Linked DNA regions of Mus musculus: region 1 is reported to be linked to region 2. The links are microRNA targets in miRTarBase. Many come from high-throughput screens and were not tested one by one. Region 2 holds a microRNA gene; the other region holds the end of a gene's coding sequence.
The links. Region 2 holds the annotated microRNA mmu-miR-351-5p (UCCCUGAGGAGCCCUUUGAGCCUG, at 3,775-3,798, opposite strand). A microRNA usually pairs through its seed, bases 2 to 8, with sites in the 3' UTR of a target mRNA and lowers its output. Matches are read on the target gene's strand: a 7mer-m8 pairs with bases 2 to 8, a 7mer-A1 pairs with bases 2 to 7 and ends in A, and an 8mer does both.

Region 1: the mRNA of Jmy is a reported target of mmu-miR-351-5p. The part of its 3' UTR that is shown has no 7-base or 8-base seed match.

What each region holds. Positions count from the first base shown.
Region 1 is chr13:93,434,687-93,440,070 of GRCm38, reverse strand. Jmy (junction-mediating and regulatory protein) reads left to right here. Exons shown (of 11, transcript NM_021310.3): 10 at 322-632; 11 at 4,652-5,384. The coding sequence ends at 629. Among named protein-coding and RNA genes, the nearest start is that of Gm6109, 11 kb to the left of the region's middle.
Region 2 is chrX:53,049,541-53,054,924 of GRCm38, forward strand. Mir351 (microRNA 351) reads right to left here and starts at 3,813; the gene lies at 3,715-3,813. It overlaps C430049B03Rik (RIKEN cDNA C430049B03 gene), which reads right to left. Exons shown (of 4, transcript NR_038185.1): 4 at 3,572-5,384. It overlaps Mir503 (microRNA 503), which reads right to left and starts at 4,514; the gene lies at 4,444-4,514. It overlaps Mir322 (microRNA 322), which reads right to left and starts at 4,809; the gene lies at 4,715-4,809.

The DNA.
Region 1 (5,384 bases), not on the chromosome of region 2:
TCTGCCATGTCCTTGCATCTCCCAGGAGCTGGGGTTATAGCACTGTGTGCACAACTCTGTCCAGCTTTTATATGGATTCTGGGGTTTCTGAACTTGGGGACAGCAAGGACCTTACCCACTGAGGCATCTTCCAATATTAAATTTAAAAAACAATAAGAGAAAGAAATATGTAATCAATCATTGTCTTACTTTGGATTGGTTTGTGGGTACAAAGAGGTCTCACATGTCAAGACCTGTCCTAGTCACCGTGCATTGGAGGTCACACAGATTGACTTTTAAGAGCAATAATTCTTACTGATTGTTTTATTTTGTTTTCCAAAGTGAGTTCACCCATGGATGAAGTGTTAGCATCCTTGAAGCGTGGTAGCTTTCATCTGAAAAAGGTTGAACAGCGGACTCTGCCTCCTTTTCCTGATGAAGATGATAGTAATAATATTTTGGCGCAGATAAGGAAAGGGGTAAAGTTGAAGAAGGTTCAGAAGGAAGTTTTGAGAGAATCCTTCACACTTCTGCCTGATACCGACCCTTTGACACGGAGTATCCACGAAGCTCTAAGAAGAATCAAAGAAGCGTCCCCAGAGTCAGAGGATGAGGAAGAGGCTTTGCCGTGCACAGACTGGGAGAACTAGCAGGTACATGAGCCTTACTTAGCCTTTAGCAGCCGGCTTTAACGGCTTTGACTTCGCTGGTGAGCTCCAGCATTTGTTGTGGAGTCTGTACCATGTGCGTCGTGTATGGCTTCATTGTAGAGCATGGATAATAGATGTGTGAATTCCAATTTTTAACTCAAAAATATTCAGTTCAGTGTCTGTTTTTTAAATCTTGCCCCTTTATACAACAGTCCCCCTTGCAACTAATCATGTGTATTTCTAGTGTATTACTGTTGCAGTTGTTTTCTCTCCTCTATTTGCCTTTTAAGTTAGGGCTTCTGTATCCAGGCTAGTCTGGAACTCCTTGTGATTTTCTTGCCATCATGGTATGCATTACATAGTATGGCTGGCAAAGTATTTTATTTCTCTTTTTCAGTGTGTGTGTGTGTGTGTGTGTGTGTGTGTGTTGGTGGGTAGTATATATTCAGTACCCTGAGAGACCAGAAAAGCCCATTGGGTCCTTAGAGATACAGTTACAGGCAGTTGTGAGCCCTCTGACATATAGTCTAGGTATCTTTTTCAGGTCTTCTTGCAGGGTTTCAAGAGCACTGAATCATTAAGCCATTTCTCCAACTCTGGAAAGCACCTTTAAAAGACTTCTAGCTGTGTGTTTTTTCTATCTTGCTCGTTAAAAATATCTACAGTGTAGTTATATTCCAAGTAAAGAGATATAGTCTTATTTTTAACTTGACCAGAAAAGCCTTTTTAACTGAATTACTTAAGTTAGGCTTACTGAATTTTGATCCTTTCTTAGCTGCCCATAAGGGAGTTTTCTCAGTCTAGAAAATTACTAAGTTGTCTGGTTATATAGCTTTCTAAATATTGAAAACTATTCAGCCATTCTTCATTGTCTATAATAAACATTATAGCTACATTGATAAATAAGTTATAAACAACTTGAATCCTGTGTACAGTATAATTGTTTACACACATGCATTGTAATTCTTGCAATCTGCTGCTTGCTTGCGCACCCCTGCAGGGTACCCCCCTCCCCACCAAATGGGATCTCATCTTGTAGCTTTAGCTGGTCTGGCCACTAGATATATAGATCAGGCTAGTCTTTGCCTCCCTTCTCATCTGCCTTGGTCTTTGTGAGTTGTGACATTAAAGGTTATTAGCACAAATTACACTACATTAAAAGAATAGTGATTATGGCATATGTCATAAGTTAGTTACATAGTTAAAGGATTGAGGACTTTGAGGACAGCGTTTATTATGTATCCAAACTCCATCTCAAAACAAAAACAGACAAGCAAACCCCAAAGAGAGAGGGAGCACTCTTTCTAGAGGGGATATAGACAAGACAGCTTTTTTTTTTTTTTACCCTGGGTGTGGTGGCACACACCTTTAATCTCAGGCATTTAGAGACAGAGGAAGCATCCCTGAGTTCAGTCCAGCATGGTCTACATAGTCATCTCCAGGACAGCAAAGACTACAGACAGATCTTGTCTCATGGGGCTTGGGGGGAAAGCTTCATTTTTAAAATAAATTTTAGCAGGGATGTATACAGGGTCATCTTAGGATGAGAGGGTGTGTACCGTGGTCCTTGACTATGTAGGAGTCTATGAACTAGCCTTAGGCACTTGTTAAGTGTGGATTCCTGTCTCTGACTCCAAATCTAAGTGGATTTTTAATGTATATGCAAGTGCACATGGATTTCTAAAACTTGGTGCAATAAAATATGAAGTATTCAAACAAAGCATTACTCCTAAAAGGATTGTTACCTGTTACTTTAGGACCTAGAGGTGCATTCGGAAAACACCTTTCCCTGCACCGTGCCCCTCAAGCTCACACACAGGCTAACATCACACTCTCTCCGGCATGTGGTTGAGCATTGCCTTCCCCCCGTGTTTCCCTTTATTGCTGTTGTGTGCAGAGGCCCTGATTTCAACTGTTTTGCTCACATATGTGTATATTATACTGTACTTTATAAAAAAGACTGGCATTTATTTTCTTAAGAAACATAGAGGAGTATACAGACCTCAGTGTTTCTCATTAGTGTGTTGATATTCAGAGGCTCGGGTTGTCTTCCTAGAGTCTCTTCCATAGTAGATATTCATGTATCACCTCCCTCTTTATTGTTCTTGCTCCTGCTATGTCTCCTGTGGCTTCTCTTGCTGCTTACACGTGTATCTCAGCCAGTCACCACTGCTCGCTCGCTATCCTTAGTTCTTTTGCTACGGCAGCTTCTGCCAGCATTTCCATGCTTGTCTTCTCCCATCTCACCAGGTCTTGGCTGACACGTAAGGCAGGGCCTCAGCATCTGTATATTTCAGCTGAGGTGATTTACATGTCTGGCCATGAGTGTCAGGACACTGTGTGAGGGACTGCAAGGGGCTGGTAGTTCTTAAAGTATTGAAACAATCAGCAGATGTGTGATCTATACACCTTTGAAAGTTTTAGAGTTCCTTTTGAAAGATGAATGTTGCTCTGCCTCATCCTACTGTAAGGCTTCCCAGAGATAGCCATGGCTAACAGTGTCCTGAAGTAGCTTCATGAGACAGAATTATAATTTATGACAAGGTTCTGATTTGTCTCATGTAGGGTCTTTCTCAAATTTCATCTTTTTTTAAAAAGATTTATTTATTATTATATGTAAGTACATTGTAGTACATTCAGACACACCAGAAGATGGCATCAAATCTCATTACCGATGGTGTGAGCCACCATGTGGTTGCTGGGATTTGAACTTAGGACCTTTGGAAGAGCAGTCAGTGCTCTTACCCGCTAAGCCATCTCTCCAGCCCTTTCTCAAACTTCTAAGTATAACTGTGAAAAGAAAATGGGGCACATATATCATTCTAAGAAAGCTGCAGAAAAGGGAACACAAGAAATTTATCCTAATAATGTTTATCTGACAGGGGCTACAACAATACCTTTCAGTATGCAGGTGACATAACATTTTGAATAGTTACCCCTCTGCACTTAGCCTTTTAGATTTAAGGCCCCAAAACCCAGGTTTTGATTCAGATGCTGTTTTTATGTTGTAATTCCTGCTAGCACATCTCAGTGAAGTATCCTATCAAAACAAAAATATACTTATTGGAAAAATATGAGCCTTATAGTCTAAAATTGGTTAGCTTCTGAGTCACACAAGCTATGTTTCAGATACTCAGTGCCCATGTATAACTTCAGAAACATGTTTCTTGTTGGTGTATATTTAAAGAATGGTTTTTATCTAAACTTCCTCTAATAGGCCAGTTGATAAAACCTATCTGCCTGTATTGAAGTTTAAAGACACCCATTTAATGGGTGTTACTTTCCTAAGAGGAGCAGAAACAAAAGGGAATCCAACACTCTCAATAGTGACCAACATTATGAACTAACCAGTACCCCGGAGCTCTTGACTCTAGCTGCATATGTATCAAAAGATGGCCTAGTCGGCCATCACTGAAAAGAGAGGCCCATTGGACACGCAAACTTTATATGCCCCAGTACAGGGGAACGCCAGGGCCAAAAAGGGGGAGTGGGTGGGTAGGGGAGTGGGGGTGGGTGGGTATGGGGTACTTTTGGTATAGCATTGGAAATGTAAAGGAGCTAAATACCTAATAAAAAATGGAAAAAAAAAATAGTGACCAAAATCTATATGAAATGACTTTTATTCTTACTACTTTAAGAATACAAACATCATGGGGCTGGAGAGGTGGCTCAACTGTTAAGATCATCGCCTGCTTTCCCAGAGGCCCTGTATATAATTCACAGTACCGACATGGCAGCTCAGTAGGTAACTTCAGTCACAGGGGATCTGACATCCTCTTGTGGCCTCCACAGGCACTGAATGCACATGGTACCTAGACATACTCAGGCAAACACTCATACACATAAAATAACATCTAACTTAAAAATTATAAACATTTTATTTAAAGGAAACCCTATACCATTACCACATAGGTGACTATTAAAACAAGTGTGCATTGAAGGTATTTCCAAGAGTGGGAGGGAACTGACTTATGTCCTACAGGCATTTTGTTCTAATATTGTATCATTTTGTTTGCAAACAGGTGACTTAAGAGAGAAGAAAAATACCCATGGATGAAGACTGGCTCTGGTTCCTTTGGGGAAAAAATCTAAGCTCTTGGTCCCACAATTGGATTCCATTATGTCCTGAGTATATTGACAAAGTGGTTTGAAAAAGGAAGCACAAACGGGAGGTTACTACTGTCCAGTCCCTCTCATTGATAGTGCAATGTTCCCGACTGCAGAGAGAACAAGCCTCCTGGAGACGGCTGTTCCTTCCCCACCCCTCCTCCCCATCTGCCCAATCATAATCTCATAGTGGCCAGTCCCATTGCTATGAATTGGAAGAACACTGGGTTGGCAGAGGTCTGCTGTACGAGCTACTTTGGGATTCATCTTTCAGTGAACTGAGAAGATCTGTGCTGAAGCACAGCCGCTTCCATGTCAGCTTGTAGAGACAGAGAGACATGCTACAGAAGACATTGATCAAGGTAGTTATGGTCAGGAATTAAAAAAAAACCATGAAATGCACTTAAAATTTCCACATTATTCATCTCCAGAGAAGTTCAGTATCTGAGAAGCCAGTGGAGATATACCTATCAATGTGTGCACCAGAACACGACACATTTAACAAGGCATATTTTTAAGAGGCCACAGTCTTACATTTTGTAAGAATTTGAAGTTAAAATTTCCATGCTTTTAAAATAGCGTTTCATAATTCTGAATTTAGAATAGTTTGAATTTTATGTGCATCCTGTTTATGAGAAGCAATGCTTT
Region 2 (5,384 bases):
AGCGAGTAGCATTTCACAATGGGACACAAATCAAAGCACAACAAAACAAAGAAACAGCAAAACTGTGAAGATGGGGAAAAAAAAACAAAACAAATAAGCAGCTAACCAACCTACTACAAATTCTGTTTTTAAAAAGTCTCTTTGTTTTGCAGTTTCTTTCCAGTTTCTACTCTACTTTCAGCCACCAGAGTTAGTGTAATTCTGTGGCCTTGATTTTTAAAAGCTTGTTATCTTAAGAATGTTTCTAAGTTTCTAGGTAGTTTTTATGATTATTCACAATGACTAAAAACGTTCTTTTGAGGATGCCACTAAATTAATCTCTATGGTTAGTTCATATTTGCTCCCTTAATTTACTTGAGTCTATAGAAAGGATCAAAGCTTTAAAGTGAATTCACTTTACAATTTTTAAGCTTGTACACATTGAATCATGCATGGGTAGGTGACTTACAGTCATTACTTAATCATGAAGTCAATCTTGAGCCTCAGTTAGGAAGTGTCCAGCAGTTAGACTCTCACTCGTCCTTCTTAGGACTAGACAGTTTCAACTAGACCTTTTCTAACCAAACACACTAGTTCAGCTCCATTTTCTGTCCTAATCACTATGGTGTAAGCTTCTGATGGCCAGGCAGGAATGTTACCTGGCACAGCATGAAGTCTGCATGATGCAGTTTCCCAGGTTTCATCTTCAGAATCCTCAGGTCTCTCGAAACTTTGTCTGCCTTACTTATCTCTCAAAGTTGTAAACAACAAATCTATGAAAGCAGTTGGGGCCGTAAGTGAACAGAGGAAATGAAGGCAAGTGCTGAGATGAGGATTGTAAAGATTTGGTTTCTAGGGCACAAACATTCTGCCTTCACTCTGCAGAGTGGAGGTGGGGGAGGGGTAGCAAAAGACCCGAAGGAAGGAGTCAGGCTGCAAAGCAAGCAGTATTCCCAGCCCCCAACAATGCCCCCGACTTGGAGCTGGGGAGGGGAGCGGGAGGGGGGGAGTGCGGCGGAGGGGGCGGGAGGGGGGCACGCTTTTCAATTTTCACCACTTGCTCCGAAGACAGAGCTCAAGAGTAAAGGGGAGTGCTCCAAGGCTGAGGGACCACAGGAAATGGAAATCGTTAGAGGCTCCTCCCACAAGGCTCTAAGCCCCTTTAAACTTGAGGAGGATATCAATTGTGGACCCAGTGCAGGAAACAGATGAGTGAAATATTAGGACAGAGCCAGGAGATCCTAGCTCAATGGATGGGCATAAGGCAGGCTGAACTGGGCCTCGGAGATACAGATTTGCTATGATTGGTGTATACATACTGTGTTTCGTTTTAAGAGGCATACAATAACTCTACATAAAGATGAACGTATAAGTTTCTGGCATCATGAGAAATGCTTCTGGACAACGGGAAAATAGATCTCTAGAAATTAATGTTAACTTGGTAATGCCCACAGCTCAAGTCTTTTGATCTCTATCAATATATATTCATTGATCTTCCTGAAGCATACTTTTTGAACCTATTTGTATTTTTTTTTTAATCTGCACCGTCTCTCAGGAAATCTGCCTATTAATTAATTTATGTCGTGTAGATTCATCATGTTTCCCTTGCTGTTCCCTCCTCCTCAATGGATTGACAGGTATGGTGCTTTAGAATAATCAGTAAAATAATGGGCATTGCAGAGTCCTTCTTGGGTGTTTGTTTAATTGGACAGTTGCCCATGTTACTGGACATCAAAAGCAACACAGAATTATTTGGTCTCCCAGCACTGGAGTGTATCCAAATGTTTTCCTGTTTAGGATTCAACTTTTCTCCTTGTCTGCGTGCATGCATAAATGCTTTACACAATTACATTTGCTGACTTTTTCTGTGGCCCTGGTTATTGGCATCTAGTTTTTCCAAGTAACATTGACACACATCTGTTCAAATCAATTGACGCTTCTATCAGGACTGACTCATTTGGTGGAAAAAACAAGTTTACATGCCAACTGGAACAAAGGAGCCTAGATTTGGGGGAATAGCAGGAAAAATGAAAACGGTGGGGCCGGATTATTTGACTTACAGATCATAAAACACTTTCCAATAACATTTTAAAAAGGTATACAATATTACACTAGTGACTGGTTATATACTGTACCCCCCTAGTTGGGTGGTTTTCAATATCTAGTGTGGTAAAACGCATATAAATTACAGTTTTTGAAAGATGATTGTACTTTCTTGGAACAGGAGTCTTCTGTGTCCACATCCCCAAGATTGTTGATGTAGTGTTCCCTTGTTGGAAAACCAAACCAAACCAAACCAATATGGCTAGCAGAAGATGCCTTCAGAAGTATTCCTGTTATTAAAATTGTTACAAAATTATGTTCAATTCTAGTGTATCACAATAACCTGAATATCTTGTCCTACAACTTACAGAAATGTCAGAGTTTAGATTTAGAGCCAGGCTAAGCTTTTCATAGTTTTAAGAGCCATGTCTGTCTAGTAACCTTTTACAATGCCACGTGCACACAGCTTCCTCACTAACAAATAACATGTGTTGGGGGAAAAAAAACGGAGAAAACAATGGAGAGGTGCCTCTTTGAATGTGGTAATGGAGGATCAATTAATCAGCCGACCATAAATTGAATCACTTTATACAAGTCTCCCACACATTATCATGCACATTTAGCAATGTTTGAAAAACAATTTAAAAGAATACCTTAGGGAGTTGTTAAAGGGAATTTATAATCTGGAACGAATTGCCATCTTCTTAATTGACATAGAAGTGTTTGGCTAAAATATTGCTTTATTCACATTTTGCCCTTGGAAGAAAATCGAAGCACATCATAACTTCGACTAGGCAAATAAAGGTGCGAAGAGCATTTCAAATCAAAAAAGGGCACCACGCAGCCAGGTGCTATGTGGATGAGCTCAATTTTGGCGCCCTTGGGCACCTTGGGCTAATGGCATCTTAGATTCTTAGTCAGTGGCCTTAAACCTGGATCATTTGCTCCTCTGCTCTAAAGTCCCCAACCCACCTGAATCTCACTTGAATCTTGCAGGCACCCACTGGAAGCAGCCAGATGGCGCAGGCCAGATTCTTCTGGGTGAGTGGGGGCCTTCAGTGAGCCCCGGCGCTCTTCCTCTGGCATAAGGCAAAGCCCTGTTGAACAGTGGAGATGGAGAAGGGAAGTTGGTGAGGGAGAATAGGAAGTCTCAAAGTGCCCCTCCTCCAACCCTGCGCATAGGAACGCGGGGCGCCTGAACCTGTTAGCCATTTGTCTTGGGGATTCCGGGCCAGAGGGGCCCTGCCAAGGGGAGGGGTGAGGCAGGAGCTGGGGGGCGTGGCTTCAAGAAGCCAAGGAGATGGGGGCAAGGCGTGGCTTAAGTTCCAAGGGGTTTCAGTGCTCCTGGGAGCCAGGGGGTCCTTGGGGGCCCAACGGGACCCAAACCACCTCCCACACCTTGTTCAAACGCAAAGGAGTCTGGGAGAAAGGCATTTGGTGGCTAGAGCTAGACTCCCAGGCTCACAAGGCCTCCTCTAACTGTACCTTTTATGGGGGCCTGCACCCAGTCCCTGGGGAAGATGACAAGCAGTTCATACAGACCAGAAGGGTGTGTGTACATGTATTTTATTTCTTTTTAATAAGACAAAGCAGCACGATTTCACCCACACTCCGTTTTCCAACAGTCCTTTACATGCCTATACTCCAGATTATGGAAAGTGATTTTCACAGGAAAAGTACAGTCTTGCTCCAGAAGTTTAACACTCTTCTCCAGTTCCCAGGCGCCTCTTGACCTGTTTTTTTTTTTCACTCCAGGCTCAAAGGGCTCCTCAGGGAAACGGAGGTGCCATGATTAATCACAGCAGAGTTTGGGATGTCACAAAGCAGCCATTTTCTCAGAGACTTCTAGGCAGTGACAAGGGTGTCCCCATGTCCCCACTGCCATGTAGAATTGTGTGATGACTTTGGGAAAGGGGGATAAATGGGGACTAGAAATGCAGAGCCTCACTGAGGCTTCCTGTTGGGCCATTGCCTCTCATTGTACCACCTGGGGGTCCGCACCAGCAAGACACGAAGAGATCCAGGGACACTCCCACGGACCCCTTAATCTTTCCTAAACTGCAAAGAGAAATGGGGACTTTCTCAAGTCATCCTTCCTGCCCTTCAGAACCCTTCTTATTCCTTTTGGAAGGACCCCTTCTCCATTTTGTTGTTGAGGACTTAGGACAAATTTTCTTGTTTCGCTCTTGTGGGTGGTATACTACTTGATGACCAGGAAGTGCTTTTTTTTTTTCCCAGTTGATTCACTTTTACCTGAGCAGCAAGTGAGGCGCTAACAACACACTTTCAGTCACACCCAGTCAGAGTCACAGATCAGCAACTCTAGTTGGGAGCTGTTCTAGAGTCTCCCTCCCATGGGGCCTATGCTGCAGGCTAACCGAAACTTACCTGGTGGGTGTGCCCATGTGGAAGACCCAGACTTACCCAGGCAGTGGAAACAATACTCCAGGGCACCAAACACTCACTGCAGTACTGTTCCCGCTGCTAGGGCACGACTGAGTGGGATGGGCTGAGTACAGGATGCCTTGTCCCTTCTTCAAGTGAATTGCCACCTTGCTATTCACACCCACCCAGGCCCTTGGACTGTGTAGAGTGACCCTCACTAGACTAAGCCCCTGCCCTCCCACCTACCTGCTTTAGGGCTTTTAGTAGAACCCACACAGGTCTGTTCAGCAGGTCCCCACCTTCTACATTCCCCACGAAGGGGTGTTGCAGCGCTTCATGTTTTGAACCTTGGCAATACTCCAAAACATGAATTGCTGCTGCAGCCCTTCGGAGTCAACGAGGGTGGGGGCCGCTCTGGGGTACCTGCGAAGGAAGAAAGTCTCTGTGATTTCCAGGATCTGCTGGTGAGGCAAAGGGTGTACTGTTGGAAAGCAGGGTGTGGTGGATAGTGGGGAGGAGGAGACTCTTACCTCAGAAAGTAGATGAAAAGTGGGATTAAATAAACTGAGACAATTTGGTAACATCTGGATCACTCTTGCCAGCTCCAAAGTCTTGGTGAAACTTCCTGCTACCTTGTATAAGTCTCATTTATTGTCCCCGGGTTTTGATCATTTATTGGAAATTGGTGCAAGGAACTTTTGATAATCAAAAAAAAATCCCTCTGGGTAGTCCCAGTTGGTTTTACTGAATACTATAGGCATGGAATAGACTTGTCTAGTAGTTTCCTCCGTTCTTACAGTAATCACCTCGTCATTAGTTATTTTTAAGGACAAAGCATGAGAATGTTCTAGATGAAACATACATTCCTGGATGTTCTCATACATTGCTGGCTACTCAAGCTTATTTATAAAGACATTTGTTACCATCGACATCAAATCACAAATCAAGAACTTTAAATAAATGACATCCTTAAATAC